2 linked regions of the Cricetulus griseus genome follow. The protein of the gene in region 1 purifies or fractionates together with the protein of each later gene. This does not show direct contact. Links are inferred from orthologs where the notes say so. Each region holds a gene or a part of one and is shown on either strand. Other genes may lie near its edges. The genes, in order: Pld2 and Dnajc7.

Region 1 (4,470 bases):
TACTGTATCAGGTCCTCATTCAACAATGTTATTGTTATTGTTGAATGAACAAATGGAGTTTAATTTCCTTCCCTTTTCTCCCTCCCTTCCTTCCTCTTCTCTCTCACTCTTCTTTTTAAGGCAGAGTTTCACTATAGAGCTCCGGTTCTACAGAGCCAGTCCTCCTGGCTCAGCCTCCCAAAGGCTAGGATTACAGGTAAGCACTACCATGCCCGGCTCCTTTTCTTTTTTATGTCTTTAGTGTGCATGTGTGCATGTGTGTGTGCAGGTGTGAGTGAAGATGCCCACCGAATTCAGAAGAGGGTATCAGCCTCACTAGAGCTGGAGTTACCAGTGGGCATAAGCTCCAGTTATGGGTGGGCATAAGCCACCCAATGTGGGTGCAAGGAACGGAACTCGGGGCCTCTGCAAGACCACTATCCACTCTTCTCTCTCTAGCCTCCAAACCCCTGCACTATAGGCCCTTACTCTAGGAGTATCCTAAATATATGGATAGACTAGTTCCCTGATTCAAAGCTCTGGCTGGACCAGGACATGGAGGACTGAGAAGCTTTCCTCTCCCCCATGGTGTCTCCAGCTCAACTCCCCTCAGGTCACAGAAGGCTCTCACACCAGGGAGGCCTTACCTGTGGGAGGTGTCGATCCTCACCCCATACCGAGCCTCTGTGCTCCTTTTCCCCACCTGCACCTCAAAGCCAGGGTCGAAAAGCTGAACAAATGAGATGGTGCCAGTCTCCAGGCGCATGTACAACAGGAAGGAGTCCTTCACCACCAGCCATCTGGAGGGGAAGGGCTGTGTATACTGTCAAGGTCCTCCAGAGTTCCCTCTTCACCTGCCCACAGACCCCTGCTCAATTCCAGCCCTCACCTCTTGGACCATCGATAACAAACTTGGTCTCGGCCACAGCAGGTGAAGCCAGGAACTCGATGCCCGCCTGAGCGCTTCCTGATCACCCCTTCCCTACAGGGACAATCGGGAGAGTTGGGGACTCTACGCACTCATACTACATGTTTTTCAAGCAGGTAGATGGGGACTGATGTCTGCAGAAGGCTAGGCGGGGGATTCCCACACTCACAGTCCTTTGGAGCCGAGGTCTGGGATAAAGGAAAGTTGACTGACTTCTAGAAATTCTGTCTGCAGAGGAAGAAATAAGCTCAGGAGGAGACTTGGCTTTTTAGCCCCTTAGCCTTACTTATTCTGCCCCTTTGTCGTCATCTAATTAAAAAACCCCAGGCATCCTAGGACATGATGGCACAGGCTTTTACTCCCAGCACTTGGGGAGGCAGAGGCAGATAGATCTCTGTCCATTCAAATCCAGCCTGGTCTACAGTAGTTAGTTCCAGGCCAGTCAGGGTTACACAGTAAGACCCTGGAGAGAGAGAGAGACAGGGACAGAGAGAGAGAGAGAGAGAGAGAGAGAGAGAGAGAGAGAGAGAGAGAGAGAGATACACCCAGGCATCTAGACACTGGACCTTACCATGGCATGGTAATTTCGATAGAAAGACATAGTCAGGAGGCGGTTGAGGTAATTTTCCAGGTATTTCTGAATGGGGGTGGGAAAGAAACAGATGTAGCCAGAGCCTTGTGCATACTACAACACCTTGCTACAGGACCTGGTGTTAGGTCATACCTGCTTGCTGGCTGTGTGTCTGGTGGAGCCCTCAGAACCTCCTCGGGGTAGGGAGGGAATGTCCTCATTGGCTGCCTCTCGGGCTGGAGAACTGGCCACAGCAAAGCTATACAGGAGGTAAGAGAAGGCTCAGGGAAGAGCTGGCAAGCTAGATGCCTGAAACACTGGAGACAGGGCCTTGGAGTGGGAGAAAGGCTGGCAGAAGAAAGGGTCTCTATCCTGGGAGTGGAGACAAGTGGGGTGGGGTGTTGCCAAGGACATTTTGGGCATCCAGCCTGGCTGAAATGTTGGCATAGTACCATGGACAAAGAGAACCAGAGGAAGTTTCTTGGGAACCAGGGTCCAGCACAGAGCTGGGGGAAGGAAAATGGCTGTGAAGAAAAGGTTACAGTAGGTTGGGGGTGAGATAGGCAGACAGGAGTAAAGACTGCCATGGGGTGAGGACTATCTGTCTGCCTTTTACAGGAAGCACTCTAGTCCCACTCACCGAGCCAAAGGGAGCAGACTCATCAAGACTTTGTGTCTCTGGAGGTCCCGATGCAGCTCCTGAAAGTGTCGGAATTTCTTCTTGGTTGTCCAGGTAAAGTCACCATGAGTCAGGCGGACAGAATATAGAGTACAGGTTCCCACCTGGGGGTATAAAAATCTGAAAATCATGTCTTCAGAGTCTTCCGGCCCAACCCAACCCTCCACTTTGGCCAGGCCTCCCTCTCCCACCCTCCATGGTACCAGCCCAACCACCTTGGATCCACTGGTGTATCTTTCAGTGCCCACCACCTGGGCTGTAACCGGGACACCAGGGGCAAACACCAAGGGGTGCACTTTCAGGGGCTGAAGGTCGTAGATGGCCAGAAAGGGGTGCATTCGATCAGCTGGGAGGGAAAAAAAAAAGCCCAAGGGTGTAGATCTCAGGAGACCCAGATCCCTATCCTCCCCTCTGTGGGGGCCATCTCCTTGTGTACCTGGATCCTCTCCTTCCCTCAGAGTGTCAACTTCATCTGGCTCCATGTGCAACTGGCTGGAGTCCAGGTAGTCCCCATAGGGAAAGAGGTTCTCCTGGGTTGCAGTCATCCTAGGAATATGAGGAAGCCTCAGGAAGGGACTCGCCCATACAGAAACACCCTTCCCTATCCTAACGCCCCCGGCCCTCACCCATCTCATTCAGCTGACTCCCAACTTCTACAGTTGCAGACCGACGCCCCTCTAGCCTCCCATCTCTGCAACCCCCAGCCCTGCCTCTCATTCCGTATTCAGGGTCCAAGAAGCACCTAGCCAAGCTGGGATAGCCTCGAACTGGGGCGAGGTAAGTCCAAGGGAGGAATCCCGGTGACAGCTGGGCTCAAAGTCAGGCCAGACGGGCTGGAAGCGAGGGTCCCGGCGGGAATGAGGAAGTTACGACGCGTTCCCCGCCCAGCAGAGAAATCCCGAAATCTGAGTGTGCGGTTGAGTCAGAAGGCCGGAGCAGCTCCAGCTGGACCCCGTCGCCGATCTCAGCCGCGCCACGTCCCCGGCCCCTCACCCTGGCTGCGGGCGCCCGCACCCGCGCGGGTTCGCAAGCACCGGGAGCAGAACTCAGAGAGGAGCCCACACCCCAGAGGGTCGGGGCGGGACCGGGGCTCAGGGCCTCACCTCCGCGGGTGGCGCATCAGCCGCGTCCCGCCCCCGCCGCCTTCTACGGGCGCAGCGATATAGACGCCCCGGCCCGGCCCAGCCCGGCCCGCCCACTCCCGGGGCCGCCCACTCCCGGGGCCGCCCCCTCCCCAGGGCCGTCCTCTCCCGCTGGATGCCCTCGGGGGTGCCGAGCTGGGAAGTCCAGCATCCCCGAGTGTGTGATCCACCCTGCTCACGTTCCTCTACTGCGCGCGCGCGGGCCTTGGGTTGTCTGGTCTCCAGCGCTGCCTGGAATCTGGGCGGAACTGGCCTCGGTGGCGAGAGAGGACCTGCTGGTGTCCCCTTGCTGAGCCCTGTACAGATAGCATTTGTTGATGGGAGGTAAGAAGAGATTAAAAAGCCAGAAGGATGGTGACTACAAGTTCGTTGCAGTATGAAAAGTCTCATTCTTCTTTCACTAAACGTTTATTGCTCAGTAGAGATTAGCCAGACATTGAGGTACGGTAGCAGCCCAGAACATGCTGACTTGTAAGTTCCAGTCTAAAACAACATTTTTTTTTTTTCAGATCCTAAAGGTCATCAGTCTGTCTTCCCTTCCTTCTTTCATTCCCTCCCTCCCTCCCTCTCTTCCTTCTTTGTTTTCTTCTACATTTCCACTGATAAACATTTGAGTTGTTTTAGTTTTCGTCCTCGGGAAATAAAGCTCCCATAAACATTTATGTACCAGTCATTTCTCTTCGGTAAATAACTAGAGTGGAATTACTGGATCATATAAGTGTATGTTTAACTTATAGAAGACTGTCAAGACCTGGGCTTGGGCTTGACAGTTTGTAGCCCAGCAGCAAAGAGAATGTGGCAAGAGGACTGTAAAGCTTGGGAGTGGAGGCCTGCTGAAGCTTCACAGAAAAGCACCCCCACCCCCCACCCCCAAAAAAGGATCTGGAGAGATGGTTCTGTGCTTAAGGGTACTGGCTGAGGACCTAAGTTCGATTCCCAGCATCCATATGGCTGCTCACAAATAGATGTAACTCCAGTTTTAGGGGATCTAATGCCCTCTTCTTGCCTCCATAGACGCTGCACACACAAAACATGCATATACACAAAATAAAAGCAAAGAAAAAGTTGAAAATAAAAACCCCTTTCAAAATGGCTCTTCTATTTTACATTCTTTTTCTTTTTTTTAAGACAGGTTTCTTTTTGTTTGTTGTTCTTTTGTTTGTTTGTTTGT
Region 2 (4,482 bases), about 29 Mb from region 1:
ATCCGACCACCTCTACCTCCTGAGTGCTGGGATTAAAGATGTACACCACTATGCTCACCTAACGCTTATTCTTCTGATGATGCCTTACACAGTGGAGGTCAAAGTGATTTAAGTCATTTCCTTTTTGGTTTATATACACAACTGGTATATAAGGAACATATAAAACTGAATAATCAGTTTCAGCAGGCTTAAAATTTGAACTCCATAAATATATATAACATGTCTGTTTAAGGAAACATCTTTCGGGCTGGAGAGATGGTCAAGAGGTAAAGAGCACTGTCTGCTCTTCCAAAGGTACTGGGTTCAAATTCCCAGCAACCACACGTGGCTCACAACCATCTGTAATGGAATCTGGTGCCCTCTTCTGGCCTGCAGGCATACATGCAGGCAGAACACTATACACAATAAAATAAATCTTTAAAGAAAAACACATTTTTCACTTTTATTTTACAATTAAGTTGACTTGGTGGTATGTTGTGGAATATTACTTTAGTTATGTAAGATGTGTTGCTGTTTTACCTTGCCTGCCTAAGGTACCTAACTGGTCTAATAAAAAGCTGAATGGCCAATAGTCGTGCAGAAGAGGGATAGACAGGGCTGGCAGGCAGAGAATGAGTAGGTTGGAGAGAGAACGAGGGAGAAAGAGAGGAAGATGCCTAGGGCCAGCCAGCCAGCCAGCCACCAGTTAACCAAACATGGAATAGCAGGACACACAGAAGAAAGGTTAAAAGCCCTGAGGCAAAGTGTAGATGAAGAGAAACAGGTCAAATTAAGTTACAAGAGCTAGTGGGACAAGCATAAGATAAGCCGAGCATTCATAATTAATAATAAGTCTCCATGTCATGATTTGGGAGCTGGTTAGTAGCCTAAAAGAAAGCCTGCTACAGTGGTAGATAACTGTTTTACAATCAATGACAAACTAAATTCCACAAAAAAGGCAGTTAACCAAACACCATGGTTCACATGATGTTGTACCACCCACCCACCCACCCAACACACATCCACAAAAGAATCTTAACATGTAGCCCTGGCTAGCCTGTAGTTGTGTAGACCAGGCTTCCTTTGATCTTACAAACAGCCCGCTCGCCTCTGCCTCCCAAGTGCTGGATTAAAGTGAGCACCACCAGTCTGGCTTGTTTTGTTTTGAGACAGACTCTTACTTTAAAATCCAGAATGACAAGTTCTAGTTCTTTCTGCCTCAGTCCCCTAAGTGCAGGGATTACAGATGTGTGCCACCCCAGTCAGCCTTCAAATTTCTTGATAGGTCTCTCCGTATTCATTTACTACCATTTCATGACAAAACACTTTCTAAAGCTGTTTTGTTTCACTTTAAGGAGAGAATTTGCTTTAGAGAAGTGCAATCTAGCCAGGCATGATGGTGCACACCTTCGATCCCAGCACTTGGGTGGCAGGGGCAGATAGATCGATCTCTGTGAGTTCAAGGCTGGCTGGTCCGCACAGACCCCTGTCTAAAGTCCGAATGAGGGACACTCCCTATAGATTTACACCAAGTACAATATATTCCTTGAATGACATATGGCCAAAGTCCCTATTTACAACAGTGAGAAGCACCAAATTCTTCCTAAATCCAGGTAAAATAAGCTTAAGCTGCTTGTGTTAGCAAAGGGCTTCCCTTCTCATTTTGCAATTCCTTAAGAAAGGTATGAGCCGATGGTGCTTAACTCCAAACCACTGGAATGATGTGGAAACTCAAAACGAAGGAGACTAGACGGATATCTCAGGGATCAACTGCGCTTTGTCAAGCCTCTCAGCTTCCAACCCACACACTTGATAACTGCAATATTCCCTGCAGCTCCCCGAGTACCCTTTTGTATTTCTAACTTCGACAGCAAACACCTCAGAATCCTGGTTGGTAGATCTCCTGATCAGATTCTCTCATCATCTCAAATTATTCAGACTGAAAACATACCCCCACAGGCTTAGTACGAACATACGAAGCACATGGTTAGAAGACAGAGGGCACTGAAGTCCATTCTGAACAACAGATGGAATGAATCTGCAACTGATAAGGCAATCAGTTCACCTTTGGTATCAGAGCAAGTACGCCTGCTCTTAACTGTGTTCCAACCTCGCTTCAAAAACCTGTCCTTAGCTGGTGCCAGAATTCACAGTGTTCTTGAAAACCACTCACTCAGCAGCTCCCTAGGCTAGTCCAGACTGGCAATCATCTCGCGCTACTGCAGCTGCCCAGCAGTGCCAACTGCATCTAAACAGCTGTCCTCCCTGAGCTTAGGATCGCCTTGGGACGAGAGGTGAAGCAGCGTCTGACCCGTACAGTCTGAGACGAGGCCCTCATTCGTCCTTCTGCCTATCCGATTTTAATTTCTACGTCAATGGGGGGGGAGGGGGCGACCAGGTCAATACCTGGAGGCACACAATCTCCTCGGCCCCACACTAATGACCACTGGGTGTAATTACTGAGGGAAAGGAGGACAGACAACAATACGCACAAGTTCACCAGCGGAGCAGGCGGAGGCTGGGGCTATGTTAAGGAAGTCGTCATCGATGCCGCGACGCCTCCCCCACCCTGCAGCCGACCTCGGAGGTTCCACCCCGGCCTCCACAATGAGGACGACCTTCTTCCCGACGGCAGAACTAGGCCGTGCCTCAGCACCCCGCGAGGCGGAAGCAGCACAGGGGGAAAGGCGACCCCTGAGAACGTCCCTTCAGGGGGGGCCTATGTCGACTCCGGCTCAGATCGGGGAGGGGAGGGGGGGAGGCAATCTGCAGAAGGCTGGGTATCGTCTCCACATTCGGCGGCTGCCGCGTCGGCCTCCCCGGATTCACAAACCCCAAGCCCGCCTCCCCCGTTATCCTACCACCCGGTTACCTCTTTGCTTCTTCGTCCTCTAGCAGTTCAGGCTCGGTCCCCGCCATTACCACATCGCACTCCGCGGTAGCCGCCATCTTACCGCCGGGACCAGAGAGCCGGGTGGGAGGCAGGCGGTGAAGAGCACTTCCGGCCGGAGCATCGAGCCGCTCAGCAGCGCCGCGCCCAGAGGGACTACCTCGAGCCCGTCTACCAACGAGAGGCTCCGCTTGGGGCCAGAGCGGCCTCCCATCCCGGGAGGTCCACGGTGGTCTCCGCCCTGGGGCGGGGGCCCAGGGACGGCTCCTGTGCGTAGGGGGCGCCACTTTACTCGCGGATAGGAGGCCGGTACAGAAGGGTGTTGCCTCTCTAGGCCTCGGCTTGCCTCAGTATCCCGACAGCCTGGTTGCCATAACAACTTGCAAACCTAGAGAGTCTCCTCCGGTGAAGCCGCCGAGCCCCGGGTGGGTAGGTGGGTGGGTGGAGGTGGGTCACCCGAGACGGCTGCGGTGAGGAAGGCCTGTACGGCTACCTGCCGACCCTGGAGTGTGTCCACCGCGTCCTCCCCGCAAAGGCATAAAGAGCCGCTTTGAGCCCAGTGCCCCAGCTTTCATCGGCGGCTGGAAGCCCTGCCCAGCCAAGCGAGGGGAACGCAGGGCGTCTTCACCCTGCGCCTTTCATCCTCCACGGGTCTCCAAGCGCCTGCTGGTTCATCATCCCAATGACGCGGACCCTTTTATGAGGCCGCTTTCATGTCAACCGCTTGGGAGTGCCATCTCAGCGTTAAGTCTAGAGAGGATGACATGGCGCCCCAGCCCCTGCCTTGGAGTTTATAAGGCAGCTCATGGGGTGAGGTCCCCTTTCCTTAGTGTCCCCTGTACTCCTGCGTCTCATAAACTCTACCCAGCACACTTTGTCTGGCCAAATGCGGCCTGGATTGGGAAGACAGGCTAATCATTTTTTTTGTAGAACCACTACTACACCCAACAGTATGTGTGGAGTTGAATTAAATTGGGGGGGGGGGCTCTGAGGTTAAATGAGGCAGAGGAGATGACCTAGAGGTTGTGATTTTAAGACAAAAAGAATGAAAATAAGACAGTGGAATTTTAGGTGTCTATGCCCATTAAGGAAAACTGTATGAAGGCCCCTACCCTGTTTTGTAGATCCTTACTTATTCATTAGTGAGGGAATTGAAACCATAGGGTCCACTGGCTAGAAAATGAGAGCTGGAGCTCAGTGGACTGAGAGAGGTCATTCAGCCTTTACTTGCACTGTTGGTTGGGGGTGGGATGGCAAAAACCTCACCACCCACACTGCTTGCCAGTGGCTCACCTCACAGTACACAGTCTAATTCACAGACCAATTTTTTTAAAACTTTTTTCTAACTATCGTTTGTAGCTGAACTTATCTACTCTCCCAGCTTTAACTTCATCCCAACTTTCAATTCTTCCTGTTGCCTAGACATTTAAAAAAAAAAAGTGTGTGTGTGTGTGTGTGTGTGTGTGTGTGTGTGTGTGTGTGTGTGTGCATGTATCTTTGTGAGTGCATACCAGGTATGTGCAGGTGTCTGCAGAGGCCAGAAGAGGGTTTCAGATTCCCTGGAACTGGAGTTAACAGGTAGTTGTGAGCAGCTCGACACAGATGCTATGAAC

The links.
Region 2: the proteins of Pld2 (region 1) and Dnajc7 purify together in Homo sapiens (affinity purification with mass spectrometry; 3 studies listed by BioGRID and IntAct, counting the BioPlex papers as one, with this or other methods). This does not show direct contact. The link is inferred for Cricetulus griseus from reciprocal best matches to the Homo sapiens genes PLD2 and DNAJC7.

The regions. Positions count from the first base shown.
Region 1 is NC_048600.1:84,350,996-84,355,465, reverse strand, and holds the start of Pld2 (phospholipase D2), read right to left. Parts: upstream 3,093-4,470; 5' UTR 2,900-3,092; intron 2,704-2,899; 5' UTR 2,703-2,703; coding exon 2,594-2,702; intron 2,504-2,593; coding exon 2,373-2,503; intron 2,360-2,372; exon of another isoform or gene 2,262-2,359; coding exon 2,119-2,261; exon of another isoform or gene 2,097-2,118; intron 1,851-2,096; exon of another isoform or gene 1,738-1,850; coding exon 1,632-1,737; intron 1,545-1,631; coding exon 1,479-1,544; intron 1,136-1,478; coding exon 1,077-1,135; intron 1,024-1,076; exon of another isoform or gene 962-1,023; coding exon 869-961; exon of another isoform or gene 844-868; intron 780-843; coding exon 627-779; intron 197-626; exon of another isoform or gene 121-196; intron 1-120.
Region 2 is NC_048600.1:113,667,613-113,672,094, forward strand, and holds the start of Dnajc7 (dnaJ homolog subfamily C member 7), read right to left. Parts: upstream 3,010-4,482; 5' UTR 2,929-3,009; coding exon 2,852-2,928; intron 1-2,851. UniProt on the Homo sapiens protein: Acts as a co-chaperone regulating the molecular chaperones HSP70 and HSP90 in folding of steroid receptors, such as the glucocorticoid receptor and the progesterone receptor.